2 linked regions of the Macaca fascicularis genome follow. The protein of the gene in region 2 purifies or fractionates together with the protein of the main gene of each other region. This does not show direct contact. Links are inferred from orthologs where the notes say so. Each region holds a gene or a part of one and is shown on either strand. Other genes may lie near its edges.

The links.
Region 1: the proteins of TSC22D4 (region 2) and NRBP2 purify together in Homo sapiens (affinity purification with mass spectrometry; 3 studies listed by BioGRID and IntAct, counting the BioPlex papers as one, with this or other methods). This does not show direct contact. The link is inferred for Macaca fascicularis from reciprocal best matches to the Homo sapiens genes TSC22D4 and NRBP2.

What each region holds. Positions count from the first base shown.
Region 1 is NC_088382.1:153,495,181-153,510,852, forward strand, and holds NRBP2 (nuclear receptor-binding protein 2), read right to left. Parts: upstream 11,968-15,672; 5' UTR 11,704-11,967; coding exon 11,581-11,703; intron 11,081-11,580; coding exon 10,958-11,080; intron 10,882-10,957; coding exon 10,780-10,881; intron 10,677-10,779; coding exon 10,587-10,676; intron 10,405-10,586; coding exon 10,364-10,404; intron 10,264-10,363; coding exon 10,169-10,263; intron 10,052-10,168; coding exon 10,028-10,051; intron 9,959-10,027; coding exon 9,875-9,958; intron 9,795-9,874; coding exon 9,739-9,794; intron 9,632-9,738; coding exon 9,536-9,631; intron 8,509-9,535; coding exon 8,376-8,508; intron 8,276-8,375; coding exon 8,173-8,275; intron 8,080-8,172; coding exon 8,029-8,079; intron 7,955-8,028; coding exon 7,819-7,954; intron 6,933-7,818; coding exon 6,719-6,932; intron 6,627-6,718; coding exon 6,469-6,626; coding exon of another isoform or gene 6,413-6,468; 3' UTR 4,280-6,412; downstream 1-4,279. UniProt on the Homo sapiens protein: May regulate apoptosis of neural progenitor cells during their differentiation.
Region 2 is NC_088377.1:49,048,805-49,065,382, forward strand, and holds TSC22D4 (TSC22 domain family protein 4), read right to left. Parts: upstream 13,761-16,578; 5' UTR 13,354-13,760; intron 12,919-13,353; 5' UTR 12,650-12,918; coding exon 11,888-12,649; intron 8,997-11,887; coding exon 8,830-8,996; intron 1,593-8,829; coding exon of another isoform or gene 1,499-1,592; coding exon 1,450-1,498; intron 1,068-1,449; coding exon 858-1,067; 3' UTR 422-857; downstream 1-421.

The sequences.
Region 1 (15,672 bases), on a different chromosome or scaffold from region 2:
AACGCCTGCCCTGCCCGGGGAGGTGGGCACTGAGCAGAGCAGGGGGCGACTCACTCTTCTGGATGCCCACGCAGTTCCCTCGGGAGCCCAGCAAATGGTACCCTGGGTGGGAACTTACTTCTGGTGGGCACCAGACCTCCGACCGCCTGTCTGGTTCCCCATTGTGTCCCCAAATCCTCCCACAGAGCGATTTCTCAAAAACCGTAGGATGAGAAAGCACGTCCTTCTTTCCCAAGTGGAGACAAGAGAATAGAGATAACCATATCACTCTACAGCACCGGAGAACGAATTCACAGCTGCAGGCGTAGCGAGCCAAGGCCACCCCATGCTCTGAGCTGCAGACCCCTTTCTACAGATCCCGTCCCCTTCTGATCCTATCAACCCGAAGGCCCACGCATCATCCCCAGGAACCCGCTTCCGTCGTGACCACGGCGCACATCCCCGTCGGCAAAGGGAGGACGACGACCCCCGCCTGCCGGACCTAGCGGGTAGGAACGCGACCCCGCTAGGCTCGCCCGCCCGGGCCACATGCAGCGCCCGGGCCCCCGCGCCGCCCCGCCCCGCCGGAAGCTGGGGTCCGCAGACCGGAAGCTGAGGCCGCGAGCCGGCCGCCCGCGCGCACCCGCCCCGCCCCCGCCTCGCGCGACCCGGGGACACAAGGGACTCCGCGCGGGACCTGGGAAGACCGCCGCGTTCTTGGGAGGCCCTCCGCGCCCAGGCTGGGCCGACGACCCGGCCCCGCAAGCTGAGGGCCGCCCGCGTCACGGGGGGCTCACTTACGAGAGCTATGGTCGCCGTCGCCATCTTGCGTCCGTCGCGGCCGCCGCGCGCACCACCCACTCCTGCTCCTTCCGCGGTCTCGCGCGATCTGGGCGCCGGCGCACGGTACTCTCGCGAGGAAGGAGGTAAGAACGCGCTTCCGGGGCGGGGAGGGACGGTTAACGCCCGCGGGAGGGGCGACGGAAGGGGTGTGCCCTTGGCCGGGCGAGGGGAGGGGTCTGTGCAACCTGGGCGTCCGGGGGCGCGCGCCGCGGTACACGAGCCGGGCTTTTCTCGCCGCGTGGCCGACGCGGGAGCGCGTGGTGGCCCTCGCCGCCCCTCGCCCTTGCGGCCACTACTGAGCTTCTCTTCTCTGCCTTTTTTGGAGAAAACGCCGTCGCGGGCGTCGTCCAGAGGCTCTCCTCCGCGAGGCAGGGGAAAGAGCGGGACCCTCCTGGACTGGAGGAGTCTCGGGTGATGAAAGGCCCGTGTGTTTCAGGCTCACGTCGTGAGATGCTTCGTCCCCGCGTCGTGACATCCTTGGGGCCGGGAAACCTCGTTCAATTGGCAGCCTTTTCTCCTTCCAGGGAACAGATGACCGTAGGCTGGCTGACATCAGTCACTAGGCCCGCAGGCTACAGGCCCCCTTAGTACCTGAACTGGCTTTCATGACCCAAAGTGTTTATCAGTACTGTTGGGAAAGCTGCCCGTCCTGGACATTTGCCATCTGCTGCACCCAGTCCCGAGACCCTAACTTGGTCATCTGAAGAAGCCACATCTGTAAGCTCAGGCACCTTCAGTGCCTGAGGCCACAAGGCATCCCGGGCAGGCCTCCTTTCAACCCTGGGAACGTTTAGAATTTAATACAGACACCTTTACTTAAATAGGGCAGCATATTCCCCGCCTTCCTCCTGAAACCCTCTGAAATTATAGGAAAGGGGTTTTATAAAGACAAACCCTGCAAGGGCAAAGAGCTGGGATATTGTAGAGCTGGAGGAAGATGGACAGTGAGAGCTACTCCAGCCCACGCGGCCATGGAGGCCGGTGTCTGAGGGTCGTGGGTGAAAGCACAGCTACAGAAAGGAAACCCCAGACCTCTGTCCATACCCACCGGGGCTGGCAGGCAGTGCAGTGGCTGAGACGTGAACTCTGGGAGAGGAGCTCTGAGGCCCTGCCCAAGCAAGGCTCTGTCTGAAAGCCTGGGAATAAGTGAGACTCTGGGTCCTTGCCTTACCTCCACCCCCTGGGCTGGGTCTGACCACCGACATGCCATCAGCCTCCTCAGAGAGGAGGGCTCCTTTCTGCTGCAGCTCCCAGCTCAAAAGAAAAGACTGGCAGGGCAGCTAGGGGCAGAGGGTTGCCCAGTAGAATGGCCCAGCCAGATCCCTGGCCTCGAAGCTCACCAGGCCATAAGCCCCAGCCACTAAAAGCATCTCATTCTTAAAAGCAACTGGACAGCCCAGGATCATCAGACACCTGAGAAAGAAGCAAAGGGACTCAGAAGAAACAGAGACAATAAAGGAAGCCAAAGAAAAATGAAAACTAAAATGCCATTCTCAGAGATATTAGAGGTATTACAGGCAATAAAAAGGAACTGGGGGCTATAGAGAAAGAACACTCAGGATGAGAACGAGCTCTTAGAAATAAAACATGAGGGGAAAGAGCAATTCAATAGGCTTTTTAGGATGAAGTCTTCCAGAATGTATAATGACAGAACCAGATAGCTGGAAAACAGAATAGCAGTAACACAGGTGGGTGCCCTTAGGGCCAGCCTGGCACACAAGGCCTCCACAATGGAGGGGGTGGATGGGTGGTGGGGGGCTGGTCCACCACCACCACCAGGGGAAGCCACAGGCACCACCCTCTGGGAACAGCTTCCCTTGACAATAACGTGCATGCAGGGTGCATGGTGCCCAGCACTGTTCTTACACACATTCACTCATGGGATCCTCACAACCCAGTGCTATGCAATGGGTACAGCTGTTATCCCCATTTTTACTGATGGGCAACATCACAAGGCAGGGAGCAGTAGAATGGCTCCAGAGCCTGTGTTGTTTCCACCACCATGACTGCATCTCAAAAGAGAAGTCCAGGTCAGGCACAGTGGCTCATACCTGCCTTTCCAGCACTTCAGGAGGCTGAGGCAGGAGGATCACTTGGACCCAGGGGTTCAAGACCAGCTTGGGCAATATAGCGAGGCCACATCTCTACAAAAAATAATTTTAAAAAACCAGCTGGGCATGGTGGCACAGGCCTGTAGTCCTAGCTAGTAGGGAGGCTAAGGTGGGAGCATTGCTGGAGCCCAGAAGGTGGAGGTTGCAGTGCCCTGTGATCATACCACTGCCCTCCAGCCTGGGTGACGGAGCCAAATCCTGTCTCAAAAAACAAAAACAAAAAATAAAAACCCAAAAAACAGAAACCCAACATCTAAATAAATTGTCCAGAAAATAAGGAAATGAGAGAAATCAACAAAGAGATAAATCACGAAAATTTCCTAGAACCAAACAGTCATGTTTCCTGAACAATGGGTGAAAGGCAAGTTGTATATCAAGACACATCATTGAAAATTGCCGAAGTAATGGGGCAAAGAATAAAACAGAAGAGATCATAGGTAAAGAGTCAGAATTCAGAAAGGCACAAGAGTTCTCAGAACTAGAAGAAAATGACACGACACCCTCAAAATCCTGGGAATAAATGATTTTCAACCAAGCCAAGCTTTTTGTAACTAGTCACACCGTCAAGCATATGTGAGGTTAGCATAAAGACAAACAGGTAAAGACTCCGCAACTTCCTATGCACCCTCTCAGGAAACTTGGAGGATGGTCCTTCTCAAACAGAGCAAATGAAGGAAAAGGAAAGCATTCCAGGACACTGGTGAAGAGTTAACCCATGCTGACAACTGGACCATAAGTCCAAGAACAAGTAGCCTGGGCAGGGGGCTTGCATAGTGGGGGCTCCAGGAAAAGAAGAAACTGAGCAGTCAGTTATGTGATGAGTCCTAAGCTGTGAGAGGATGCTCATGCTTTTGCAGGAAAGTCTAAAGATGAATCGATGACAAACACATATAGAAAACCAGGCAAACAAAAAATAGGCAATTATTAACTCCAGGGAAAACAAAAAGTTGTGCAAGAAATGCCATCCTAGAACACCCTGTTCTCCTGTGACGCGTGGTAATGAAGCTGTAATAACACCCTGCAGCTGTGATGCCCGTCACACTAGAACGATGCCGCATCAGGAGACTGAGGCGGGTGACCACCCTCCTCCCAGAGGATGCTGGCTGGGGACACCTAATGTGAAACAACTAATAAACAGAACTAAAAGCTCATGATTTTGAAAAACATGGATTTCAAAATGCCTGAAGAAACAGTTAAGAGAGTTGAATTTGGAGAGGATGAGAGTAGGAGCCTGCCTTTATTATTTATCATTGGCCTCAAAAAGAAAAAAAAAAACCCATTCTACTTTAAAAACAATACACATAAAATTCTGAAAAGATAAAAGGAAGAATTCAACAGAGACATGATTAAGTGCAGCAATGGTAGTATTGATGCTTTTAAGTTCAGTTTAATCAGTAGTACAATGTTATGTGTTTGCCACTGAAACCATTTAGGACCGTGCGTAATCAGACAGTTTCACATGAGGGTTTCCATCTAGGATATGGAGATTATTTTAGATTACTAATTTTGAGTTGGAAGGTGTGAGCATTAGAATAATTTTGTAAATAGTATTGGAATATTTAAGATAACTGAGATTCACTATTTTGCACATTTAATTTATTTGATATGCATTAGTAAGTCTTGCTTTGGTTTTTGGCTTTTGGTTGGGGTGCTGTGGTCAGCAGAATGCCACCCTTCCCCAACAAAAGAGTTTCCTTCCTTAATCCCTGGAACCAGTGAATGTTAGTTTACATGGCAAAATGTGTCCTGCAGATGTGTTTAATATTAAAAACCTTGAGGAGGGAGATTATCCTGTATTATCTGGCTGGGCCCAACCTAATCTCATGAGTCCTTAGGGACAACCTTTCCTGTCTGCAGAGAACCAGAGAAATGTTTCGTGATACAGACTGAAACTGCTAGCTTTGAAGATGGAGGAGGAGGCCAAGAGCCAAGGAATGTAGGCAGCCTCTACAAGCTGGAAGTGGCCTTAGTTTACAGCCAGCAAGAAAGTAGGGACCTTGGCCCTGCCACTGAAAGGATGTGGATTCTGCCAGCAGCCTGAAGAAGCAGGAGACAGAGTCTCCCCTAGAACCTCCAGGAAGGAAGGCAGCCTGCCAGCCTTGATTCTAGTCCAGTGAGACCTGTAGTCAGACTTCCAGCCTACAGAATTGCAATACATTTGTGTTGTTCTAAGCCACTAAGTTTGTGGTAAATTTTACAGCAGCAGTATAGAACTAATACAGTGGTGTGCCTTCCTGGTTTGACATTTGAAATGCTTTTAAAAAGGCATGATTGTGCTAAATTTATACATACAATTTAAAATGTTTAAGGCCATTTCACTAAGTTTGGAATTGGAGGAGAGGCAAGCCAAGAATCAAGAGGCCAGGAAGGCAGGGGTAGAATCTATGGGGGCATAGAAACCTCTAAGACTGAGCCAGGAGTGCAGTGGGAGAGAGGCAGGGAGCCAGGAGCTGACATCCTCAGAGGCCCAGGGAGCAGCTGCCCCAGGGAGGAGGTGCGGGAGGTAACATGGAGGGGGTGTGAATCTGAGGAGCAGAGAGGATGTGGGGGCCCTGACCCCTCCAGGCCAGGGAATGCAGGAGAGAAAAAGCCCGTTGGAGGGGCTGCAGTGGCCAGAGGATATCTGTAGAGGGGCTGCAGTGGCCAGAGGAGATCTGTAGGGGGGCTGCAGTGGCCAGAGGAGATCTGTAGGGGGGCTGCAGTGGCCAGAGGAGATCTGTAGGGGGGCTGCAGTGGCCAGAGGAGATCTGTAGAGGGGCTGCAGTGGCCAGAGGAGATCTGTAGAGGGGCTGCAGTGGCCAGAGAAGATCTGTAGAGGGGCTGTAGGTTCTGGTCTCGGGGTGGGTAAAGGGTCAAAGAGGTGGCTCCAGGGCAGAGCTGCGTGGGACCAGGGGCTTTGCTGATGACAGCCTCAACTCCAGACCTCTCTGTGGTCTGTTTCTCCTGCCAGGTCCCTGTTGTGCCCAGTGCCATGCGTGACACCTGCAGGTGTGTCACTGCTGGCTTGCTGTGCAGGCTCCTTGTGTGGGTCTATGGTGCCAGCCAGGGATGGCTGCTCTCCCAGACCCCATGGAGCAGTTCCCTGGGCAGAGGTCTGTCCAGGGCTGACCCTCACCCCCAAGCCCCAGAGCTGGGGCTCCCTGCAGGGCAGCCTCCTGCATGCTGAGCAGGCAGTGGCCCTGGCCAGGCAGCCTGGGTAGGAACTCAGGGTGGAGAATGGAGGATATGGGAAGGGGTCCTGAGGGCAACCCTGAACCTAAGGACCTGGGAGGCCTAACGGCTCCCCCACACCCACCCCCCACCCCCGCGGCGCCCGAGGCAGGGTCAGCCCCACTCTCAGGAGGCGGGGGTTTCTTCACTACCAGGGCCTTTGTGCTCCCAGGCACACGGAGGAGAGCAGCCCTGCGGTGCTGGGGTCTCCCCCACATGGCCTGCCTGGGCAGCACCCCGGCATGGTCCCCAGGGGCTGGGGTACTGGGTCAGGCCTGGGCCCCACGGTACTTCAGGAAGGTGCTCTCCAGGAAGGTGGCCAGCTTCATCCGGTCGTCCTGCGGAAGGAGGGAGGCATGGGGGACGGAGGGGCACAGCCTGCCCCGCTTGCCCCCTCCGCCAGGCCACGCTGCACCGCCCAGCGCACCTCATGGAGGAAGCCGTAGTGCACAAGCTCCGAGGCGAGGTCCTGAGGGCTGTCCGCTGCGGCAACGGTGTAAGGCGAGGCATGAGGCCGCTGCGCCACCCGCTGCCCGGGGTCACCGCCCACCGCCCAGGTCCCTTGCCCAGCCTACTTGGGAGCAGGTCGTAGGTCAGCTGCCGGTGCAGCCGGTCCTCCAGCACCAGAAGCAAAGTGAGCTGGGGAGGCGGCGGGGCGTGGTCGGCTGGAGGTTTGGGGGTCTGCCACGCTCCCGCCTTCCCCACAGCAGCGCTGCCCTCCCAGGCCCCGCTCACATGCCAGCGCGCCTTGTCCTCGCTTCTCTCCAGGTTGCACTGCATCTGGATGACCTGCAGCGGCGGAAGGCTGAGACTCACAGACCCAGCAGCGAGACCACATGCCGCGGCCCCAGAGGGGCCAGGAAGGGACAGCAGAGATTGGAAAGGGGGGAATCTCTAAGAGGAGCCCATCTCACTGCTAGTGGCCTAGTGAGCTAAGGAAAGCTTCGAGAAGAGTCGACATTAGGTGCTGGGTACTGAAGGCTGAATAGGAGCTTTCACTGCTGAGAGAACAACTTAAACAAAGAGGGAACTTGAGCACGGGGAAAGGGAGGTTGAGTGGGATGCGACTGCACCGAAGTGCAGGGTGCCTGCAGGACCAGGCCTCCCAGCGCCTGGGCATCAGCTGAGGACTCCCATGATCTCTGCGGGCAGCCAGGAGCAGGCAGTTTGCCTGTTAGGACATAAATTCTGGCTGCACTGCACCAAGAGAGGCCACTGGCCAGGAGGCAGCGCTGCAGGAAAAGTCTGAGGAGACACCAGGACATAGATACCCGGGAATCAGCACGAGGTGGGGGGTGGGAGGGTGGGGGTGGGAGGGTGGGGGGTGGGAGGGTGGGGGTGGGAGGGTGGGGGGTGGGAGGTGGGGGGTGGCGGGAAGAGTACTGGCGGGGTGGAAGAGCCTGGGCGAGTTCTGGAGGAAGGATGCTTGCAGTAGGTTCAGGGCAGGCAGCAGGATGCAGGGGAGGATCTGAGGGGACAGGGAGCCTCCCGGAAAAGGAGAGTGTCCAGCCTGTCCTACAACCCCCATAATCCCCACAAGGGGGTCAGCCTGGATCTGGTCTCTGGCAGCCAGGAGGAGAGCTGGGCTGTGGGGAGCAGGCCCTGGGAGAAGGAATCTCTTATCAGGCTGCTGGAAGGTCTGAGGGATGGCACTGAGCAGCAAGAGGGGACTCACCTTCCTAGTCTCAGAGTCAAAGGGCTCTGGCGTCGGGGTCTTGGCCTTTTGGACCTCCTCCAGGGGTGGGGCTAGCACCCGGGGCAGCCCCAGGGGCCGAGTGGCTGCAAAGTTCATCAGTGGGTAGATCCCATTCCTGGAGACACACCGGGGTGGCTGGGGGCTCAGGCCTGACAGCTGCCTGGCCCCCAACCTTACATCAGTTCTTACCTGACATCCTCCAGGAATTTGTCCAGCTCCATGAAGGAGACTTCCGAATACCTGGCATGGGGGTGGGAGGCACATGAGGGGCTGGTCAGGGGCGCAGGGAGGGGAGGCACGGGGAGGGGAGGTTTCTGGGTGCTGACTGCTCACCGCCACTGCAGCGGGGGCCTGCGGGGCCGGGGAAGCTCCGCCAAGACTGCGTGCAGGTCCACGGCCTTGGTCTTCTCCTCCACTACGTTCTCAGGCATGAGGTCTGCAGCCACAGGAGCATCAAGGCCGTGGGTCCTGCAGGGCCCCTTCCACATCCCAGCCGCAGCCTCCCCGGTCACCCCCTGGGCTGGCCTGCTGCTCACACTGGTGCTGGATAAAGCAGTGGGCTGCTAGGAGCTTCAGCGAGTGCACCTCGAAGAGCACGCGGTGGAAGAGGAGGCTGTGGGCAGAGGGCCGGCGGGCAGGGTCCCGGGCCAGGCAGCAAAGGATGAACTCCTGGGGCATGGGGAGGAGAGGCTGGTGGTGTGCAGAGCTCTCTGCTCTGGCCCCACAGTTCGAGGAGAGGTGGTCCCTGAGTTCTCCTCGTCCCTCCTCCTCAGGGACATACAGGACATGCAGGGATGCCCGTAGGGAGGAGTCCTGGCAGCAGCCAGGCCAGGACCTGGCCCTCTGGGCTTGAGGACAGCTGGGTTCTGGGATTGGAGCACCATGCTCTGCTTCCCTCAACCTCCCAAAAATCATGGGGAGTAGGAGCCATGATCTTTAAGTCACACCTGCAAGCTGTGGTCCTTTTTTTTTTTTTTTTTTGAGACGGAATCTCACTCTGTCGCCCAGGCTGGAGTGCAGTGGCACGATCTCGGCTCACTGCAAGCTCTGCCTCTCGCTACCCATGGTCATTTGATCGGCTCAGCTCAGGCCCAGCACTGGAGATGACCTTGCTGGTTCCCCACTCTATCCACATCCGTGCCCAGCCCGGCTCCAGCTCCCTACCAGCCCCATCCAGGCACCCCCATCTCCTGAGGCCATGGAGTTAAGTCTGGATTCCGAGCAGAGGGGGCTATGGATGCAGCTTCCATCCCATACCTCTTTTTGCCTGCTTGGCACCCACCATGTCCCCCCACAAGCTGGAGCCTCATCACCTCCTAGAAGCTTAAAGTCAAGGACTTGGAGTGAAGCAGACCCAGGTGCAGATGTTGGCTCCACCACTTACTCTAAAGCCTCAGGCAAAGGACTCATCTCCTCTGAGCCTCAGTTTCTTTATCTACAAAACGGGCATGGTGATAGCAGCCACAGAGGGAGGGTCTTTCTTGCCTTCTTGTCCTTAGAATGTGCTGACCCATTAGGGCCTCCAGGCCTGGAACCAGTATGTGCTCCCACTGAGGTCCTCTTTGCGGGGGTGCAGCCAGCTGATATACCTCTCAGCTACATAAACTGTGATGCTCTCCCAGGCCTGCCTGGAGCACCTTGCTGGCCTAGCTGAGCACAATGAGCCAGCTGGGGAGGGGCAGGGCAAGCTGCTTACCCGCATGTTGGGGTCACTCAGTGAGTGCCTGGCACGAGCAATGGCCTCCTCTGTGACCCGGGTGTCCCCGTTGGCCTGGATCTCCAGCACAGCCATCTGGGGCACAGAGCCAGGTCAGGCATGGGGAAGGGACCACACAGGTGAGCCAGGCAGGGCACAGCTAGGAGGAGGGCAGAGCACAAGGTGGAGGGCGGGGGCAGTACCTCCAGCGCACACATCCCAAAGGAGAAGATGTCCACAGCGGTCCCATCGGCCACCTCTGAACAGGAGAGAACACAGGACGGGTAGGAGAGAAGCACACAGGGCAGGCACGGGGCGCCCAGACCCAGCGCCACTCACCGCCGTACTCTGGGGGGAAGAAGTGCAGGTTCCGAAGTTCCTCTCGCTCAGCGCGGATGGGGCTTCGGAGATCATGCGGCAGCGCTGTGGAGGGCGCAAAGGCTGAGCGGGCGGGACCTCTCCAGGACCCCATCCCCCAGAGTCCGCACTTACCATTGGAGAAGATTCGGTGCCACACTGCCAAGGGGCGGGAGAAAGAGCGGAGTTAGCTGCTGGAGCATCAGAACTCCTCTGCCCTTGGCTGCAGGCACCTTCCCCTGCCCCGTCCCCCGCCCAGCCCTGTCCCGCCAGCACCAGAGCCGATCTTGATGAGGCCGTTGTGCTGAATGAAGATGGTGTCGCTGGTCAGGTTCCCGTGAATGATCGGGGGGCTGCAGGCGTGCAGGAAGCTGCAGACGTTGGGGAGGGGAGAGTAGGAGGAGCCGGTCAGGAGGCTCTGGGGAGGCGGGGGCTCAGCAGCGCAGCGCCCGGACCAGCCCAGGCCCTCACCTGAGCGCGGACAGGATCTGCGTGCACCAGCGCTTCCAGGCCTGGCGGCGGACGCACGACTCCGTCGGGTGGGCGCAGGAGAGGCGGCTGGGCCTGCGGAGCCCGCCCCGCATCCTCGCCCAGTCCCTGTCCGAGGCCACTGGGCACCCCCTCACCATCCCAGTCCCCGAGGCTGCCCCAACCCCGTCCTGTCCCCGTGGCTGCCCCAGCCCGCTCCCCATACCCGGGCGTTCATGGCCTTGTGGTTCTTCTTGGTTTTTTTGAGGAATTGCTTGAGGCTGCCTGATGACACGTACTCTGTGATGAAGATGACCTGCAGGGTGCGAGCTCAGGATTTCCACCAGCTGCGCGTTCGTCCCCATGCCCACCCCACCTGGCTGTGGCCTCTGCCTGCCCGGGGCCTCGCCCATAATCACCCTCGCGCAGGCCTCGGAGGTATCCAGCCAATACTTGTGCAACTTCACGATGTTGGGGTGGTCCACCAGCACCAGCTGCTCAAACACAGTCTGGATCTTCTCCTGGGGAGGGAGGGTGGTCTCTAGGTGGTCAGCAGGTGGTCACCCAGGCAGGATGAGGAGGGGGCAGCGGCCTCACCTCGTGCGCCGCGAAGGCCTTCCTGTCTCTGAAGTGGAGCTCGTTCCACACCACCTCTACCCCCTCCTCCGTGTCCATGGCTAGGAAGGTGCTCTGAAGCCCTGGCATGTTCCCCTGGTTTACCTGGGGAGTGAATAAGGGGTTATGTGTGCCCTGGTGTGTGTCAGGTTGCGGGTGAGGATTTGGTCCCTGTCTATTCCTTTCCAGTGGGCCCAAGCGTGGACTGTAGGACCTGAGCCACTCTGCGGGAAGGTGGGGGCTTGGAGGGTAGCTGCCCCTAGGAGCCAAGGGCTCCTATCCAAGGGCTCCTATCCAAGGGCTGGGCTAAGGGGATTTGGAGCAGGTTTCAAGGGGTCGAGGGGGATCCCCAGGAACCTAGCCGCTGAGTCCAGAGGCATGGGGAGGTGGTCCTAGGAGGAGACTGGCCCTCAGGGAATCCCAGGGCGGGCGCCAGGCCAAAGGGGTCCAGGGGTGGCTGATTCGCTGGCCGCGAGGGACCGTGGAGAGGTTTCCAGGCGCCGCGCGCCGCGCTCTCCCAGCGCCCCCACGCCCCGCGCAGCCTCCAGGCCCCTCCGGCTCTGGGAGGGCGGTGTCACCCCAGTGCCCCCGACCCCCGCGCCCACCTCCTCCCGCCGCTTTTGCCAGCGACCACACGGGCTCTCTTCCAGGATGTCGCTCTCGTCCTCGCTCTCGTCCTCCCGCTCCCGCTCCCGGGCCAGCCTCGGCGCCGGTTCAGGGGCCGCCATGGTTCGGCCGGCCCAGGCCACCGCCCTCCGCGCGATCCACCGCCGGAGCAGCCTCTCCCGGCCCGCCCTGGCCCCGCGCCCAGCAGCCCAGCCTAGATCCGCCGCCGCCGCCGCCGCCGCAAGCCCCAGCCCCGGCTCTGGGAATTGGGAGGGGCGGGCGCGCGGCGGGCAGATGGGGGCCGGAGGCGGAGCCGGCGCGCCGCTCCCGAGCCGCGTGTGCCAGCCCGAGCCAGAGCACCGCTTCCCAGCCAGCTGCCGAACCCCGGCCGCGCCCAGGCCCCGCCCCTTCGGAGGCCCCGCCTCGCGAAGCCCCGCCCCAGGCCCTGTCCCCTCCTCGTCCCCCAAGCCTCCTCCGCGAAGCCCCGCCCTACCTCCGCGAAGCCCCGCCCCGTTTTGGTCCCCGCCCCCGCCCATTCCCAAGGTCCTCCGCGAGGCCCCGCCCCAGGCTCCGCCTCGCCTCCTCGAAGTCCCGCCCCGCGCAGGGGAACCGCCCCCAAATCCCCGCCCCCGTGGAGGCCCCGCCCCGCGGCCACCCGGAGCCTGGAGCAGCCCACTTCTCTCGCGGTTGCTCTCCTAGGATCTGGGGGAAGACCCGGGGCATCTGGGGTCCCCCAAGCCCACGACACCCTCCAGCTGCAGGAGTCCCCGCGGGCTCGAAAGCGGGGCCCCGCTCTCCTGGCCACGCACTCATTCCCCGGCCGACCCCCTTGGGACAGGTGGGTGGGACACCGAGGGCGGGGGGAAAGGCCCACCAGCAGGCTGACCCAGGCTGACTTTCACTGGGGGCCACAAATCTCTCCGTGGCCCGCCCGCCGGTGCCTCCTCCCGCCCACAAGCCCATCTTCTCACCTTCCAGGATGGCGATTTTCTCTTTTCTCCTCAAACGCGCCCCTCCTTTCCGCGGTTGGCTCGGGACAGTGGAACCATGATGGGGGAGCCCACCCGGCTCACAAGGCCGCTCCCTCCGGAGGCCGCTCTGAGCACACCCTCCAGCCACGCTGACCACCGGGGCTGTCCCCGATTCTCACCTAAAACCCCCTTCAGCCCGCAGCTGCCACAGCCTTCCCGTGGCCTTCTCCCTCTCTCAGGGCGGGTCCTCATCCTTCACCTTCTCTCTCTGGAGCCCAAATTGGAACTCCGCTCCTCCCTTCCGCGCGCCTCCGTGTGCTGTCCCTTTGGGACGCCTCTTTCTTTCTTTGGCAGATTTGCATCTGGCCCTGCTGCGTCCCCTGTGGTCGCTCTTTCCTGACCAGCCTTGGTCACCAGGTCCCCTGAGTGTGGCTTCCACCAAGGCCAGATGATCCTGCTGAGGCCTTCTGCAGTAAAGGTTTGGGGTGTTCAAATTCTCCACCCTGAAACTTGCCCTGACCAGCTCCTGAGAGACACCCTCTAAGCCTTTGGAATGTTCCGCCTGATTTGAATGTCTGTGTTTACCTAGGCCACACCATAGTCTATGCTAAGCTTGTCCAATCCGCAGCCCAGAGGGTGCATTCGGCCCAACACAATTTTTTTTTTTTTTTGAGACGGAGTCTTGCTCTGTTGCCCAGGCTGGGGTGCAGTGGCCGGATCTCAGCTCACTGCAAGCTCCACCTCCCGGGTTTACGCCATTCTCCTGCCTCAGCCTCCTGAGTAGCTGGGACTACAGGCGCCCGCCACCTCGCCCGGCTAGTTTTTTGTATTTTTTTAGTAGAGATGGGGTTTCACCGTGTTAGCCAGGATGGTCTCGATCTCCTGACCTCGTGATCCACCCGTCTCGGCCTCCCAAAGTGCTGGGATTACAGGCTTGAGCCACCGCGCCCGGCCCCAACACAAATTTGTAAACTTTCTTGTTGAGATTTTTTTTTAAAGCTCATCAGCTGTTGTTAGTGTTAAGTGTATTTTATTTAAGTGTGTTGCCCAGGACAGTTCTTCCAATGTGTGCCAGGAAGGTCCAAAGATTGGACACCCCTAGTCTGTGCTAACAACGTGGTCTACCGGGGGACTTTGGGCCATGTGGCATCAGCCTGACCTCTGCAGGGGCTGGAGGCCAAAGTCTGCGACTTGGGAGGTCAGCCATACCTGTGTGACCAACCCAATAAAAACCCTGGACACCGCGGTACAGAGGGCTTCCCTGGCTGGTGGCATGCTGTGCTCATCCGTGCTGGGAGGTTGAGCACTGTCCGCATGCCTGCAGTGGGTGTGGACACCTGCAGACCTGTGCTGGTCTCTCTTGGGTTCTGTTCCGTGAGTCCTTGCCACTGCTGATTTTAACGCATCCATTGCTGTAATAAATGGTACCCTTTCTGAGTTCTGTGAGTCCTTACAGTGAACCATTGAACCTGAGGGTGGTTTTGGGTAGCCCCCAGTGGTCCCTTCTCACTTGGCACGAGGGCCTAAACAGGAAGGCCCAGTAATTGGTCCCATTACCCTACCTCATGTCCCCTGCCCTCTTCAGCTGAGCCCACCGCAAGTACATGGCCCTGTGCCGTTGGACATGACAGGCACTTCCCCTCAGGGTCTCTGCCCTGGTTATACCTTTGCCCGGAATGCCCTTCCCAAACATCCTCTGAGGTCACTTCCTGAGAGGCCTGCCCTGGCCACGAATCCTGACATCACAGTCCCCATCCCCTTTCCCCTGCTTGACTTGACTTTTCCTGGGGCATTCACCCCACCTGACTTGCATCTGGGTTTTTCTCATCTCTCTTCTTCACTGTCTGTGTCCCTGTTGCTATTCGAGCTCCCACAGGGCAGGAGTGTCTTCTCTTTGTCCCTGCTCTTTCTCTGGTGCGAGGACAGTACCTGGCACGCAGCAGGCCCTCAGCAAACACTTGTTGAATGGATCTCTGGGTGGGCAGGGGTGCGTTTTGGGGGGTGTGGTCCAGAGAAGCCCCTGAAGAGGTAAGGCTTGAGCAGAAGAATCTCAATGAATTTCCTCCCCTTTCTCCACCCCCATAACCAGACACACATGTTCTGTGGTAGGTCATATAGAATCCCCCAAAAGTCTACATCCTGATCCCCAGTACCTAGGAGCACAGCCTTATTTGAAAAAAAAAATGGCTCACGCCTATAATCTCAGCACTTTGGGAGACCGAGGCGGGCGGATCACGAGGTCAGGAGATCGAGACCATCCTGGCTAACACGGTGAAACCCCGTCTCTACTAAAAATACAAAAAATTAGCTGGGCATGGTGGTGGGCGCCTGTAGTCCCAGCTACTGGGAGGCTGAGGCAGGAGAATGGCATGAACCTGGGAGGCGGAGCTTGCAGTGAGCCGAGATCGCGCCACTGCACTCCAGCCTGGGAGACAAAGTGAGACTCCTTCTCAAAAAAAAAAAAAAAAAAGAATAAAAAAGATTTTTGCAAATGTAAATAAGTTTAGGATCTTGAGATGTTGGAGTGGGCCCTAAATGTCCTTATCAGAGAAAGAAGGATACTTGGGGTGCAGAGAAATAAGGTAGACCGTCAAGTGAACATGGAGGCCACTATTGGAGGGATGTGCCCACAGGCCAAGGCGTGCCTGGGACTGCCAGGGCCATGAGTGGTGAGGAGAGAGACCTGGGATGGATTCTCCCACCCCAGCCCCAGAAGCAATCAGCCCTGCTGATACCTCAATTTTGCACTTCCAGCCTCCAGCACAGTGAGCGAATCTGTTTGTGCTGTTTTAAGCCACTCCTGCATCTCTGGTGCTGCTCTGGCAGCCCGAGGGGAATAGCACATGCACCGGGCACAACCCGCATGGTAAGAAGAGTGACGTGACAACCGCTACGTGTTCGCGTGCAGGGATGCTTCCCAGCACTTATTCCGACTCCACAGAGTGGGTCGGACTGCTGCCCGCCCGCGCACAGAGGCAGTGGCTGCTGCAGCATGCCCTCCCTGGCCTCAATCTGGCTATGCCCCAGGGTGGGTGCCCACCCTCCCTTCTGCTCTGCCTATGAGCTTCTCCACCCCTTGATCCTGCCAGGCCATTTGGATTTATCGGAAGTTCTCTAGGG
Region 2 (16,578 bases):
CCACGGCGGCCGGCCAGGCCTGGCAAGGGCACCGTGTGCCCAGGGAGTCTGGCCCACACCCAGCCCAGAGACAAGGGGCCCATTCAGGGCCCCCCGCCCCGCCCCCAAGCAGCCACCCGGATCCAGCCCGCAGAGGGGACACACTGGGAAGCTGGGGGTGGATCTTGGGCAGCCACCAAAGACCTCATTGTTTCCTGGTCCCCCCGCCCAGCACGTGGGCAGACGCCCCCCCACCCCCAATCCTCGCCTGCCCCTTCCCAGGACCCGAACCGCTGGCTCCCTTCTCCAGTCTCTGTCTCAACCCCTCCATCTCCCACGCTTTAAACCTCCCCAGTCTGCAAAAGATCTCAGGGAAGCCCCAAATGGCAGGCGCAACCCCTGAGTCTGAACACAAGCAACGAACGAGATGTCAACCTCCAAATTCAAGTTTCTTCAGAATTTTTAATTATTATTATTTTAATAACAACCTGAATCCCAGAACTTCCAGATACTGTCCACACTCCCTCCCCTAGGCAGAGGAGAGGATGCACCTCAAGGGAACAAGGTGGGGGTGGGGTGTCTGCCAGGGAGCCTCCAACTCCCCCAGGCCGTCGACTGCTGGGGGTCCCATGAGGGAGGGTGGAGGTTGGTTCCCTCCCAGAGGGGGCTCCCTCTGATGCCCCGTCCTGAAGTCCTCCCTCCTCCATCAAGGCTGGGGATGATGAGGAGATGGGGCAGGGGCCGGGGGACCAGGCCGTTACTGAGCCTTGAACTCCCACCCTGGGGACATGGGGACATTAAAGCTGCATAGGAAGAGGGGGCAGGCGGCTGACAAAAGGCCGGGCAGCCCCAAAGGCACATTGTAAGGGAAGGGAGGCTCAGACGGAGGGCCCATTGGGCGCGGAGGGCCCAAGCCGTGGGACCCCCGAGGAGGGCAGCTGAGCCAGCTGCTCCGGGCTGGCCAGGGCGCGCAGCAGCCCGTTCTCCTGCTCCAGCGCAGCGTTCCGCTCTGCCAGTTCCCGGATCTGCTCCTTCAGTACCTCCACCTCCTCCCGGACCGCAAACATGAGGTGGGACTTCACCAAATCCTGGGGGCCCCGGGGACAGGCACAGTGTCAACGGAGTGGGTGCCTCATCCCCTGCCCAGTGCCTCAAGGGCCGGGATGGGAGAGAGTCCCGTGTCCAGAGGATGAGAGACAAAGCAGGGAAGGGACAGGGGAAAAGGACGAGGGACAGAGGCAGAGTCAGAGCTCAAAGACAGAGATGGGGACCAGCAGCCAGACCAGAGGCCGGGCAAAGTCAAGGGTGCAGGTGGCGGTAGGAGGGGGCAGAGGATGCCCAGGAGCCCAGCAGGGAGAGGGATGGAGGAACTGGGAGTTGGTGTTCCCTGGTAAGGAAGAAGACAGGGCTGGGGCGGAGGGATGGCTTAAGGGGGCCGGGACCTCCTGGGACCAAGATGGCTTCTCTTACCATGGCTTGCTCGATTTTGTTGTCAATGCCAACCAGGCTTCCGGAGCCACTGGAGAGACACAGGAAGGTGAGGGGAGGAGAGGAGGAGCCTTCCCAGGTGCTGGTTTCTTGGACCACAGCCTCCCGCCCACACCCCCCTATACCTGTGACAGTAGAGAATGAGGGAGAGGAGGGTTTTGTCCATCCCCCTGCGGGCTGAGGGCCGCTGCCCAGGGCCTCCCAGGCCCCGGTGGGGCGGGGGCCCAGATGTCCCTCGTATGGGGGACGCACCCCGGGGAGAGCAAGGGGAAGAGGCACAGCCCCTTTTTCGGGGCGGCCCCGGAGCCATCCCCACCACTCGGGTCTCATAAGATGACACCAGGGACTTGACAGAGATCCCTGGCTGGGCCATGCCCAAGGGGAAAGGGTCCTTAGACGCCCCCCCAACGGAGAAGGATGCAGTGAAGGGAATGCCTGGGGGGCTCAGAGCCCCCCGGGCAGAGCGGGGTCTGGCTGGTGCCAGGCGGGCAGAGAGGAGACAGTGCCTCGGGGGTGCTGGCCTGAAAGATATACACCACCCCCCCCAAGGGCAAGGCCTGGCTGCTATTGGCTCCTTGGGGACACGGGGACCCCCCCTCCCCTCGGCTCCTCGGTGGGCGGGAATTCCCAGACACGGTCAGTGCCAGTGTCCCCTTCTCACCCTGGCACCAATCCCAGAGTGGAGGGGAGGGGGCCGGCCGAGGAAGTCAGCTGGTGGCTGGGCCAGGGGAGGGGCGTGGGGCAGAAGCCTGGGTCTGAGAGGGGAGTAAAGGGTGTGAAGGGAGACGAAGGGCCTGGCCCTCGGAGGCCCCTCCCCACCTCTGACCCCATCCTGTCCCCTCTGTCCCTCAAGGCCTTGGGAAAGAGGGTGGAGGTGGCTGGGGTAGGGGGCGTTCTGACGTACTCGTGGTCTTCCATAGATCATGAGTGCTCTACTACCAAAAAACCCCACAAGGCTCACATCATGGGTGACCCCGGGACCTGGCCAGAGGGTCCCTGACTTTCCAGAGAAGACCAAAAATGGGAAAGGTTACCACGGCAACAGAAACTGAGCCCAGAGCCCTAGAAGACGAATACAGCCTAAAGGCCAGGTGCGGTGGCTCACACCTGTAATCCCAGCACTTTGGGAGGCTGAGGTGGGTGGATCATTTGAGGTCAGGAGTTCGAGACCAGCCTGGCTAACACGGTGAAACCCCATCTCTACTGAAAATACAAAAATTAGCCAGGCATGGTGGAGGGTGCCAGTAATCCCAGCTACTCAGGAGGCTGAGGCAGGAGAATTGCTTGAACCGGGAGGTAGAGGTTGCAGTGAGCTAAGATCGTGCTACTACACTCCAGCCTGGAAGACAGAGTGAGATCCTGTCTCAAAAAAAAAAAAAAAAAGGGACAGGCATGGTGGCACATGCCCGTAATCCCAGCACTTTGGGAGGCTGAGGCAGGCGGATCTCCTGAGGTCAGAAGTTCAAGACCAGCCTGGCCAACATGGTGAAACCCTGGCTCTACTAGAAGTACAAAAAATTAGCCAGGCGTGGTGGCAGGTGCCTGTAATCCCAGCTACTCAGGAGGCTGAGGCAGGAGAATCGCTTGAACCTGGGAGGTGGAGACTGCAGTGAGCCGAGATCAGGCCACTGCACTCCAGCCGGGGCAACAAGAGCAAAACTCTGTCTTAAAAAAAAAATACCGCCGGATCACGAGGTCAGGAGATCGAGACCATCCTGGCTAACACGGTGAAACCCCGTCTCTACTAAAAAATACAAAAAACTAGCCGGGCGAGGTGGTGGGCGCCTGTAGTCCCAGCTACTCAGGAGGCTGAGGCAGGAGAATGGCGTGAACCCGGGAGGCGGAGCTTGCAGTGAGCTGAGATCTGGCCACTGCACTCCAGCCTGGGCGACAGAGCCAGACTCCGTCTCAAAAAAAAAAAAAAAAAAAACCGCCTATGGGCCTGGGACCTGGGTCTGGGGTCTCAGAGGAAGCGAGGGCTCAGAGGAGAGGAAGGGAAGTGAGCTTGGAGATGGGACATTGGGAAGAGGAGCAACAGGGCTTGGAAGAGAGGTGGGAGTCCCAGGTGACAGGGTCTGGCTGCAGTCTGGGAAGTGGCCACCAGAGGGCGACTCAGGCCTGGCTCAACAGCCCCCAGGGCCAGGCTCCAGGCTGGCTCCAAGACGCTGGGCTCTTGGTCCCAGAACCTGGCTCTCCCTCAAGCCCCACTCTCACCGCCCAGGACCTGCACAGGCTCTTGTGCCGACCTCATCCTCCAAGGCTCCCTCTCCCACCACTCTGGCCCCAGGCTCTTGCCCTGAGGCTCCAGACCTACCCTTGTACCCCTGCACTCTGGTGCTGTGGTGGGATCCCCAGTCCTGCCCTCCAGCCCCCAGCTGGGCCCCGCTCGGAGCAGGGGCCTCAAGGGGCTGCAGGCCACATCCCTGGGCTCCCTTGTAAGCTCTCCCTCCTGGCTGTCAGCTCAGACTCGCTTCCCCGCAGGGGGATCAGCACTCAATTCAAGGTGACCCTTGGATGAGGTCCTGCAGCCAGGAAGGGAGCACAGGGAGCTGGGAATTTTCCATTTCTCATCCAAGCTCTGGGTGCAGAACGCGCTGACAGGTAGAGCAACTGAGGTGACCAGGCCTGAGTGAGCAGGATGGGGTGGGTGGGGGAAGGGAATCTGGGACTCCTGGGGCAGTGGGAGAGGAGAAGTTGAAGGCGGGGTGGTGGGTCTGCCAGCAGGAGGGTCAAAGTAATTTTTGAGCTATTTCAATCAGCAACACCTGAGTGGATATGGAGCCACCACAGAAAACCCAATACCCCCCCTCCACCACATTACACAGACTCACAGAGACCAAAGCGGGTGGATACCTAGGGATAGGAACATGGGCCCTGCTTGGCGGAGACTCAGGGGTAAAGATGTCAAGTAAGGTGTTCGTTCTCGCCAGAGATAAAGGAATAATACAACAATAAACGTTTGTTGGCCAATAGGTGACTGTCTTCTGTTTGTCTAGCGCCTGAGAGTTTCTGACAGCACTTTCCACTGGGGCTTTTTTTTTTTTTTTAAGACTAAGTCTTGCTCTTGTCGCCCAGGCTGGAGTACAATGGCGCGATTTCGGCTCACTGGAACCTCCACCTCCCGGGTTCAAGCGATTATCCTGCCTCAGCCTCCAGAGTAGCTGAGATTACAAGCATGCGCCACCACGCCCAGCTAATTTTTGTATTTTTAGTAGAGATGGGGTTTCACCATGTTGGCCAGGCTGGTCGCCAACTCCTGACCTCGTGATCCGCCCGCCTCAACCTCCCAAAATGCTGGGATTACAGGTGTGAGCCACCGCGCCCAGCCTCCATTGGAACATTCTAACACACACTTCAAGGGACCAGGACTCTGGCAACGCAGGCCTTCCCCTTTAGGACCCCAGAGTGAGGGGTTGTGGGCACTGTGCTAGAATTCTTTGACAGGGTCCAGGGGAGGAAAGTAGTGGCTGCTGAGACAGGACCTACCTCCACCACAAGCCCAAAAGCAAGTTTGTGTGGATTAGAAAATGCCCCTTTCTTCAAGACCCTTAATGCCACCTTCCGGAAAACTGTCGTGACTTCCAGCATTGACTGTGATTTCAAATATGAGCAGCACCCCCTGGAGTTGTGCAGTGTGTGACATGCACAGTGGGAGACTTAGCCCTGCAGGACTCTCGGTCCCGGGGCAGGGACAGCCCTAGAAGCTGGTCTTCCTCTTTGAGGGTCAAATAAAACGGCCTCAACATGAAGATGGGATAAAAAGCAGGACACCTGGCCGGGCGCGGTGGCTCAAGCCTGTAATCCCAGCACTTTGGGAGGCCGAGACGGGTGGATCACGAGGTCAGAAGATCGAGACCATCCTGGCTAACACGGTGAAACCCCGTCTCTACTAAAAAATACAAAAAACTAGCCGGGCGAGGTGGCAGGCGCCTGTAGTCCCAGCTACTCGGGAGGCTGAGGCAGGAGAATGGCGTGAACCCGGGAGGCGGGGCTTGCAGTGAGCTGAGATCCGGCCACTGCACTCCAGCCTGGGCGACAGAGCGAGACTCCGTCTCAAAAAAAAAAAAAAAAAAAAAAAAAAAAAAGCAGGACACCTGGGAGAAATGGGGAGCCTGGGATCTTGGGGACAGGGGCCAGCCCTGCATACTCGCCAGTGAGTTCAGGGGATCCCCCAGGGCCTAGGCCTGGGACCAGGAAAGTGTCAACCAGCTGCCCTGTCTCTATGCTCTCCCGGATTTGTGGTGTCTTTGGGGCGGGGCTGGGGAGGTCAGGGAGGGGGAAGGGGGTTTGGCTCCCTGCCCTGCTTGGGAGAGCTGTCCCTGTCCTAGAGAGAAAGGACATCATAGACCGTTGCCGCCACCTCTTTGCTTGGGACACAGGCATCCCAGTAGGATAGTGGAGAAAGTGGCTTTGGGGTTGGACCTAGGCTCCAACTGTAGTCCAGCCACTTAAACTAGCTGGGTGGCCCCGGGCAAGTTTCTAAAATCCTCCTGGCCAGGCATGGTGGCTCATGCCTCTAATCCCAGCACTTTGGGAGGCCGAGGTGGGTGGATCACCTGAGGTCAGGAGTTTGAGACCAGCCCGGCCAACATGTTGAAACCCCGTTTCTAGCAAAAATACAAAAATTAGCCGGGCGTGGTGGCGGGCACCTGTAGTCCCAGCTACTCGGGAGGCTGAGCCAGGAGAATCAGTTAAACCTGGGAGGTAGAGGTTGCAGTAAGCCAAGATTGTGCCACTGCATTGCAGCCTGGGACACAGAGCAAGACTCCATCAAAAAACAACAACAACAACAACAACAACAACAACAACAAAAAACCCTCCTTCTCTGAGTTTCAGATACTTCATCTGGCAAGTGGGAGAACGGAACTGCTTTTTAGGATTACAAGGGATAAGGCAGTACCGGACCCAGGGGAGGTACTGGATAAATAAATGTATCTTTTCTTTCCCAAGTCCCTGGGATCCATTCCCTATAATGCCTGGATCTCGTAGGCCGGCCACTGCCCCCACCCCCAATTCCTTCCATCCACTTCTTCACACTTAACCAACTACCTGCCACCTGCAAGGAGGGGACAAGGATTTCCAGTCCCAGGGCATGTGAGCATTCTAGATTCACCTGCACCCTCTGTTCGCCCATCCCCAGATTCAGGGACTGGTCAGGCATCTCCAACTCCCTCCCTGTGATCCAGGCACTGAACATCTCGGCCCACCTTCCCTCGTAAGAGGGAGGTCCCAGGCCACTGGGACCCTGTTCTGCCAGCTCTGTGTACACCAGAAAGGAGAGGTGGGGTCTACACGTCCCATTCCTAGGGGGCAGGGGGTGGCCCAACCCAAACCCGCCGGCTTGGCAGGGTGGGGCTTGAGGGGCTGGGCTGGGACAGATCCCCAAGAGCCTTGGAGCACAGCAGGGTGAAGTGGAGGCTGGGAACCGGACTGGTCAGATTGGGGTGTGCAGGGAGGGGGTGGGACGGAGGAAGGCAGGGAGGGAGGGGACGGGGAAAGACGGAGGCCTCAGGAGGTTGAATCCTCTAAGACAGAGACAGCAGGAGGCTGGGCTGTGAACTCAGCAGGGGTGGGGGAGGGACGGGGAGTCCTCTAGCCAGGGAACCTCCCAAGTGGCAGAGGGAGAGGGCGGGAAATGCTGAGAATAGCAGTGATGGGGGCAGGTGACTCTCCCAGCCCTGGCCGACCTCACACCTCACACATTCCTGAGAGTGGGAATGGGGCGTGCAGGAGCCACCGTGTCCTGCCCAGCCCCGCCCAGCCCCGCCTAGCACTGGCACCCTTGCCCTCCATCACACTAGCTCCTGGCCACCCCCTTTGCCAGGTCCCTCTCCTCCCCGAGGCTGCAGGACCCTGTCAGTGGTGGGCTTAAGTACCTGATCCCGCGAGCGGCCCCGGATCTGGGGAGGAGAGGAAGGAGCAACTCCCATCTGGAATAGGTCCCTCAGGCACCCACTCACCCACTCTCGAAGCCCCACCCCCAATTTCCTTCCAAGCAGGAAGTCCCTCCCCTTGAAAACCTCCTACGGAAGTCCCACTCCTCCCTCCAAAAGAAAAACGGTGACTCCCCAGCCCTTCTGCCGGGTTCCTATCAGTCCCCGGCCAGAAGCAGGCAGCCTGGCTATCTCTGACTCACGATTCTGGGCCTCCCTTTTCAGCTTGCTGGCTTTCTTAGGAACGGTGACACCTGGCCCTGAAAACCCACCCAACAGAGCACTTTCCCCTAAAAGGTGAACCCCAGAAAGTCGCTCTCTGCAGTGCCGTCCCTGCCCCTTTGCCATTCCTAGCTCTGACTCTGTTCCTAGCTGGCCCATCTTAGGGACTCGCTTTCTCGGTTCTAGAAATCCTAGGATACTAAAGTAGACCCCGTGGGCTATCGGATGTCACAGTCCATACGTGCTGTTAGGGAGTCCCAGTCCTTTGTTAGGAGAGGAAGAGGGAGATGGAACTGAGACGAAACTGATTTCCATTCTTTTTCAGTTCTTTTTTTTTTTTTTTTTTTTTTGAGGCAGAGTCTCGCTCTGTCACCCAGGCTGGAGTGCAGTTGTGCGGATCTCAGCTCACTGCACACTCTGCCTCCCAGGTTCAAGTGATTATCCTGCCTCAGCCTCCTGAGTAGCTGGGATTTCAGGTACATACCACCACACCCGGCTAATTTTTGTATTTTTAGTACAGACAGGGTTTCACCGTGTTGGCAAGGCTGGTCTTGAACTCCTGACCTCAGATGATCTGCCCACTTCAGCCTCCTAAAGTGCTGGGATTACAGGCATGAGCCACCATGCCCAGCCTACTTCCTTTATATATATGTATGTGTGTGTGTGTGTGTGTGTGTGTATCTCTATATCTATCTATATATATGCTATTTTATTTCTTTTTCTTTTTAGAGATGAGGTCTTGCTACATTGCCAGGGTTTGGTCTTGAACTCCTGGCCTCAAGCAATTCTCCTGCCCGGGCCTCCCAAAGCACCACGAGTACAGGTGGGAGCCACTGTGCCCCGGCCTGATTTGCTATTCTGTCTAGAGCACGCATTTGCCAGTGGGTTCCTGGGGTTGGCCAGATGATCTCTAAATCTGCAAGAGCTCTGGAATCTGACAACAATGAGTCCCTTCAGAATCTAAAAAAGTCTGTGACCTGACAGTTCTGAGCCAGGGAGTCCCACCCAGCCCTCTCCACAGAGAGGGAGTGGGTCCGAAATCATCTGTGTGCAGTGGTTATGCCCAGGCCAGGTTTCTCTGTCTAAGAGTTCCTCTCCAAGTTCAACCTGGGGGAAGGATGCCTACCGGGCAGTTTCTCACAGCCATCCCAGGTGCTGGGCAGGGAACCTGAACCCCACGCCCCACCACCCCACGAAGCCCACCTACCTATCATCATCGCTGTCTAGGTGACCACTGATGGCCAACATGGAGTGGGCCAGGCTGAATTTCTGAGCTGCTACTGCTCCGAAGGGGTCTGGAGATTTGTGAACCAGGCTGGCATCGTGGGCGAAGTAGAGGGCCGGGGAGCTGGGGCGAGAGTCGAGTGGGGGCACCTGGAGGCGGAGAGGTAGGAACCATCACGTGAAAAGAGAAGAGAAAGGAATCAGCCGCCTTATAACTTGCCTATTAGCCTTCCTCCCTCTCCACCTCTCTACTCCCTTTGGAGGACCCGGGAGTCCTGTCCCCACAGCCCTTCCCTTCTCCAGCTCTGGAGAAGGCATTAGGCAGGTACTAGAAGCAAGAAATGGGTAAACCTGAGGAATGGGAGGAGTGGTGTATGGGACATTACAGAGGGTCTCCCAAGTGGGAGGAGCGGGGGACTGATGGAAGAACCGAGAATAGACTCCAAAGTCCCTGCTCCCCCTGGGCCGGGACCCTAAACAGAGGCTACTCAGAGTGTCTGCCTTCTTTTATATTTTATTTTATTTTTTTGAGACAGTCACTCTGTCAGCCAGGGTGGAGTGCAGTAGCACAATCATGGCTCACTGCAGCCTCGAATTCCCAGGCTTAAGCGATCCTCCAGCCTCAGCCACCCGAGTAGCTGGACAGTTACGGCGCGCACCACCGTAACTGGCTAATTTTTTATTTTTTGTTAACACAGGGTCTCAGTATGTTGTCCCTGCTGGTCTCAAACTCCTGGGCTCAAGTGATCCTCCCGCCTCAGCCTCCCAAAGTGCTGGGAGAATAAGCCACCGCTCCCAGCCTGTGCCTTTGCTGGAGTCTCGCTCTGTCACCCATGCTGGAGTGCAGTGATGTGATCTTGGCTCACTGCAACCTCTGCCTTCCGGGTTACAGTGATTCTCCTGCCTCGGTCTCCTGAGTAGCCAGGACTACTGGCGCCCGCCATCACACCTGGCAAATTTTTCTATTTTCAGTAGAGACAACAGGGTTTCACCATGTTGGCCAGGCTGGTCTTGAACTCCTGACCTCAAGTGATCCTCCCACCTCAGCCTCCCAAAGTGCTGGGATTATAGGTGTGAGCCACTGCACCCAGGCTGCCTTCTTAAAATGACTCCAATGTCACCTCTTAGAGAGGTATTTCCCCATCATTCACTGGTCCACTGAACTGTTTCATTTTTTTTATAGCACCTAACATTATCTGAAATTAAAGTATTTATTGTGTCTCTCCCCGGCTAGAAGGTCAGTTTGCTCAGTAGCTATTTGTAGAATGAATGGATCCTCAGAAACTGCTCCTCCATCCCCTCATCCACCCCTCACTCTCGCCTCCCCTCTCAAACTTCTCGGACTCAGGTGGAATTCTGCTCCTGCGCTCAGCCCTGGGGTTGGCGGGGGCTGGTTGTGGAGCTGGGGGGAGGCGGAGCCTGGGCGTGGACCTGCATAGCCCAACAGGCGCTGGGGGCGGCAGCAAAAAGGGCGGGGGCGACAGGAACATGACAAGACGCCTCTGTGAGGCCCCGGGAGGCCCCAGCTTCTCAGAAAAGCCAAGAACAGAGAGTCCAGGGTGGTTAGAGGGACAGAGCAGAGGAAGGGGGCCCAGGTGGTGTCCCCTGGCCATTCTCCACCACTCCCTTCTGTTAAGAGGGAGAAGAGGCATGAGGGGATGTGGAAGGGAGACAGACTTTTGGGCAGGGAAATAGCAAAACAGTTACGTGCAAACAGCAGACCGTCAGGAGGTGGGGGAAAGCTGGGGAGCAGGGGGCACTGGAGAGAGACAGGCAGGGTCTGTGGCCCCAAGAGAAGCTCAGGCCAGGCTTAAGGACAGAGAGCAGGGAAGCTGGAGGCCAAGGGGGTTTGCTTTGGAAGAGTCTGGGGACAGGACAGGAAGAGAAACAGCATCTTCTCCCCTGGGGTGGGTGCTGAATGCAGGAGTTCAAGAAGAGTTGGGCGGGGAGGGGGTGGGGAGTGGTAGGAAGGGGCCTCACGAGAGACGTGAGCTTGAGGCCAGGAGGGGGTTGGGGGGAGCCAGTCCTGACCGGTCCTGACAGGACCCAGACATCCAGTCCCAGGTTATTTTTATACTGTGGTTTGTGCCCAAGGCCAGGAAGGGGAAAGAGTTCGCATCCTCACACTCCCTGCCTTTCCCCAGCCCTCCGAGGTGTTATATTCTCCCCACAGGACAGAAGTATCCCACCCTTTTGTCTCTGGCTGCTCACCCCCACCACGGGGACCCAGGCATGCTGCCCCCCCAGCCCGGACTTGTTCCTCTTTTGGAGACAGGAAGGAGAAAGAGTATGGGACTGAACTCCTTCTGGGGCTTTTCTCCCCCACTCCATGGTGGTCACCCTGGAGTTATCAATCACAGAGAGGCTCAGATGGAGGGAGTTGAGACAGACAACTGGGGGGTGAAAAGGATCAACCAGCAAGCCCCCTCCCCATCCCTGAGAGGTGTTCCCCCCACCCAATTTCTCAGTGACACTTGGCCTACAGCAAAGCTGGAGGTAGGACTGAGATGGGTGGCTGGGAGAAAAGAAAGACCCCTACATTCAGGATGGGGCTGCAGTGCAGAGACTAGCCTCGCGCAAGGCCTACCTTTTACCTTTCCTCCCCAAATCCTGGCAGCTCCTCCCCCAGGGACCCAGCTACCCAGCTGAGGCCTCCACCCTCATCACCTAGAGGCAGAGGGGCTGAGACCAAGACAGAAGAAGGCCTGGTGAGGGGGCCACATATGCTATAGGCTACATGAAGACCAAGACAGAGAATCAGAGGCCAGGGAGAAAGAGAGAGGGTGCAGAAAAACAGGAAGGAGGCTGAGACAGAAAATGAAGGAGGAGGAAGGGGCTTCAGAGTGACCTGGCAGGCACAGAGAAGAGGGCTGTCTGATCTGATAGACAAGTAATGGAGGAGGAGGGGGAGGGGGAGGGGAGGGGAAGGGACGGGAAGGAGGAGGGGGAGAAGGAAGGGGAGGAGAAGGGGTGGGAGGAGGGAGGCCCAAGATAGAGGTTAGGCCAGGGCTGATGGGCGAGCCCTAGAACCCAGGTCTTACCTGCCCCATCTCCTCTGGAGCACCCAACTCCATCCGCAGCCGCATGTCTACAGCTTTCCTCCGGGACAGTGGAGGGGTCCTGGTCCCTGAGCCCCCAGCCTCCGCGTCCACCCTCAGAGAGGGCAGGGGCGTGGCAGCCCGGGATGTGCCCGCACTCTCACCGGTCCCAGGCTCTGGGGGGCGCTGCTGGGGTGGGGAGGCCGACAGTGGGGGTGTCTCTGCCTTGGCTTTGCCGGGCACCACCAGCTGGCCCAGTCCCCCAGTGAAGGAGCGGGCCTGAGGTCCGGGAGAGGTGGGGGGTGGACGGAGCCAGGAGGTGGGGCCCTGAGACAGGCCTGACTGTGGGGTGGGGGTGCCCAGGCCGAGGCTGGCCAGCTCCAACCTGGAATCCAAAGATCTGCCCCCGGCGCCCCCTGAGGCCCCTCGAATTCCCTCCAGGAGTCGGCCGAAGCTGTGGGGCTCCAGGTCTCGCTCATAAACATCCACACACGTCCAGCGACCACGGCGATATGGCTCTCCCAGGCCGTGGGGCAGCTTCACCACCCGGAAACGGGAGGAGGGGGCCCCAGGTGGTGGGGAGCCATTCCGGGGGGTGCCCTTGCCCCCCGGATCAGGGCTGGGCTCCCCACTGGGCAGGCGGGGCAGGGGCCCGGTGGGGGGCTGTGGAGTAGGCGGATCTGAAGTCCCTGGGCTCCCCGGGCCCTCATAGTCTGTGGTGACGCTGGTGATTTGGAAACTACTCTTCTTCTTGCCCCCGCTCATGGTCCCTGGGGCTCAGGGCTGGGCCAAGGTTGGGGGTGGGTTGGGACTCCTTGAAGGGGCTCAGGCACCCCTGGAACAAGGGGGCCACATGGTGGGGGCATCCGGGCCCCTGGGGACGTCTGGGTCCGACATGGCAGGAGGGCCTGGTGGGAACCCGGGGTGCCTGCTGGGTGAGGGGAGAAGAGGAGAGGGGAGGTGGCGGGAGGGGGGAGCACGGGCAGGTTTTTCCTGCTGCTGTTGCTGCTGAACTCCAGAGCTGAGTTTGCAAACTGGAAAAAGAGGGAGAGAGAGAGTGTGTGTGTGTGTCTGTGTGTGTGTGTGAAACCAGTGGGCAGGCCACCTCCGGGGCTTCCTCTCCGGGGAGCAGAGTGGGGGAAGGGGAAACCGTCAGAGACCCGGAGACAGGCAAGAGATGACAGAGACCAGGGCAGAGGGGACCAGATCCAAAAAGGCGCTCAGAGTAGGAAGAGGCAGATGAGTTCCAGAGTTGTGCATTTCTCATCTGAGATTCTGACTCAGGGGGCGGGTATTGTCCCAAGAGCTTGGACTCCAGGGCCTGGGAGAACCGGGGTGAAGCAGCTCCCCAGCCTGGCCCGGCCACTCAGAGAGACCTCTCCTGGGCCTCGAGCCCACCCCAGCTCCCACATCCCTGGGGCAGGCCCTGCCCGGCTACCCCCAGCGCCCCACCCAGCCCCGAATCCTACCTCTGGGGCCTCGGCCACTGATCTGAGCCTGAGGGTCCCGGCGCCTAAGAGGTCGGGCTGTGCGTTCCCTGGGGCCTTCTGGCCACGGGGAGTGGCGGGGCACGCAGGCGGCGATCAGAGGTTGCCCCGTCCTCTCCGGGGGCCTCAGCTCATCCTGGGAGGCATCTCCGAGGAAAGTTTGCTCTCCGGAAAAGAAGGAACCCGCGGCTCCTCCGAGGAGCCCAGGAGCGGCCGCTGAAGCCCCAGGGGTCTGGAGACTGATGTGGGAGAGGGCGGCCGAGCCCCCCGCTGCTCCCGGTGGCAGCCAGCGAGTGGGTGTCTCGAGTCTCCTCCCGCGTGGCCCCGCTGGGTCCGTGTCTCCGCTCCTCCGCTCCCCTGGGTCTCTGCCTCTCCGTCTTTCTCCTTCTGAGCTGTTGACAACCCCCACACCAGGAAGTCCTGCCTCCTCGGCCTGCTGACTGCTCCTCTCCTCCTCCTCCTCCTCCTCCTTCCCCTCCTCCTCCCCTTCCTCCTCCCTCCCTCCCTCCTGGGGCTTCCCGCCAGCTGGCCCGGGGCCAGGCCTGCCACAGCCGCTGCTGTTGCAGTTGCTGCAGCCACTGCTTAGGCTGCTGCTCCTGGGGGCCCCAAACAGACTCTCTTAACCCCACACCTGCCGGGCCCAGCCCCACTCTTGCAGGCAGGGGCTGCAGAGGGCGGGGCTCGGGGAGAAAGGGGAGGAGCTTGCAGGGAGGCGAGGGATTCCCTTACTTGTAGTCAGTTGCTGCCATTGGCCTAGAGACACACAGAAGAAACGGAAGGCACAGGCCGGGAGGTGTGCTGGATGCCCACCCAGAAGTGCCCAGTCCCTGCTGCGGGGCGGCTGTGGCGGTCATTCTCCTTTGGTTTTCACAGCAACTGCATGAGGAAGGTACTATTATTCCCCCCATTCCTTATTTTTAAAAGTGGATTATTGCCGGACCCCGGTGGTGGCTCATGCCTGTAATCCCCACACTTTGGGAGGTCAAGGAAGGAGGATTGCTTGAGACCAGTTTGGACGATATAATAGCAAGACCTCGTCTCTACAAAACAAACAAAAAAAAATTGGCTGGGCATGGTGATGTGCACCTATAATTCCAGCTACTCAAAGGCTGAGGTGGGAGGATCCCTTGAGCCCAGGAGTTTGTGACCAGCTGGGCAATATAGCGAGATCCCCATCTCTACAAAAAATTAAAAAATAGCACTTTGGGAGGCCGAGGCGGGCGGATCACGAGGTCAAGAGATTGAGACCATCCTGGCCAACATGGTGAAACCCCATCTCTACTAAAAATATAAAAATTAGCCAGGTGTGGTGGCATGCGCCTGTAGTCCCAGCTACTCAGGGGGCAGGAGAATCACTTGAACCCGGGAGGCGGAGGTTGCGGTGAGTAGAGATCGTGCCACTGCACTCCAGCCTGGCGATTAGAGCGAGACCGTCTTTAAAAAAAAAAAAAAAAAAAAAAAAAAGCTGAGTGTGGTGATGTAGACCTGTAGTCCCAGCTACTCAGGAGGCTGTGAGGCAGGAGAATCTCTTGAGCCCAGGAGGTTGAGGATGCAGTGAGCCTACATTGTGCCACTGCACTCCAGCCTGGGCAACAGAATGAGACCATGTCTCACCAAAAAAAAAAAAAAAAAAAAGTGGATTATTATGAAAATTTTCAAACGTGCCATGCAGACATGGGGAGACCATGCAAACTCCACACGGATGGTGGTCCCAACCCAAAATTAATTTTTAAAAAATCATCAACGTTATAATGAAATGACATTCAATGAAATGACATGTGGGGGCCAGCTGTATTTTGCTGGACTATTTGAAACCAAATCCTGGATGTTATACTATTTCCCTTTGCCCCAACCACTCCCCCACATTTTTTTTAGAGACAGGTGCTCTCTCTCTCTCGCTCTCTCTCTTTCTATTGCCCAGGATGGAGTGCAGTGGTGTGATCATAGCTCACCACAGCCTGGAACTCCTAGGCTCAAGCCATGCTCCTGCCTCAGCCTCCCAAGTAGCTAGGACTTTAGATGCACGCCACCACACCCAGCTAATTTTTAAATTTTTGTAGAGATGGGAGCTCTCACCATGTTGCCCAGTATGGTCTCAAACTCCTGGCTTCAGTTGGTCCTCCCGCCTCAGCCTACCAAGTAGCTGGGACTACAGACACACACTACTACGCCTGGCTAAATTTCTTTTAAAAAAATTTTTTTTTGGTAGAGATGGGGGTCTTGCAATGTTGCCCAGGGTCGTCTTGAACTCCTGGCCTCAAGTGATCCTCCTGCTTCTGCCTCCCTAGTAGCTGGGACCACAGGTGTACTCCACCACACCTGGCTAATTTTTTAGTTTTCATAGAGACAGGGTCTTACTATGTTGCCCAGGCTGGCCTCAAATGATACTCCCACCTGGGCCTTCCAAAAAACTGACATTACAGGCGTGAGCCATGGTGCCTGGCCTCAGGGAAATTTCTAACCCCTCTTTAGGGTTAGGTAAAAATAAAACAATAGAATACCTACCCTCGTTATGTATTTGTTCTTTATCTCTTTGTTAGAAACATCCACACTCCTGTTTCTCTCCCTTAAGCCATAGTAACAATGACTGCCATAGCCCAGGTCTGTGAGCCTCCCAAGTAGTGATGTCTGGGAAGCAGCCTCCCACCTGCTCCCTACCCCTCCAGACTGCATCCCTCTGTCCCTCACAGAACCTCTTCTCCTCTAGCAACACTCAGAACATGGCCTTGGTCCCTCCGTCCCCAGGCCCTCCTTCCTTCTTGCTGACTTGCTACAAACTATCCAAAAATTATCTTTGGGGCCGGCCTGGTGGCTCAAGCCTGTAATCCCAGCACTTTGGGAGGCCGAGACGGGCGGATCACGAGGTCAGGAGATCAAGACCATCCTGGCTAACACGGTGAAACCCCGTCTCTACTAAAAAAATACAAAAAACTAGCCGGGCGAGGTGGCGGGCGCCTGCAGTCCCAGCTACTCGGGAGGCTGAGGCAGGAGAATGGCGTGAACCTGGGAGGCGGAGCTTGCAGTGAGCTGAGATCCAGCCACTGCACTCCATCCTGGGCGACAGAGCGAGACTCCGTCTCAAAAAAAAAAAAAAAAAAAAAAATTATCTTTGGGCAATCCCTTTCTCTGCCTCAGGCACTGGTATCTGAGTCTAGAGGCCCTGGCACATTGCTGACCTCTGCAGAAATGTTTGTTGAGTGAATACAT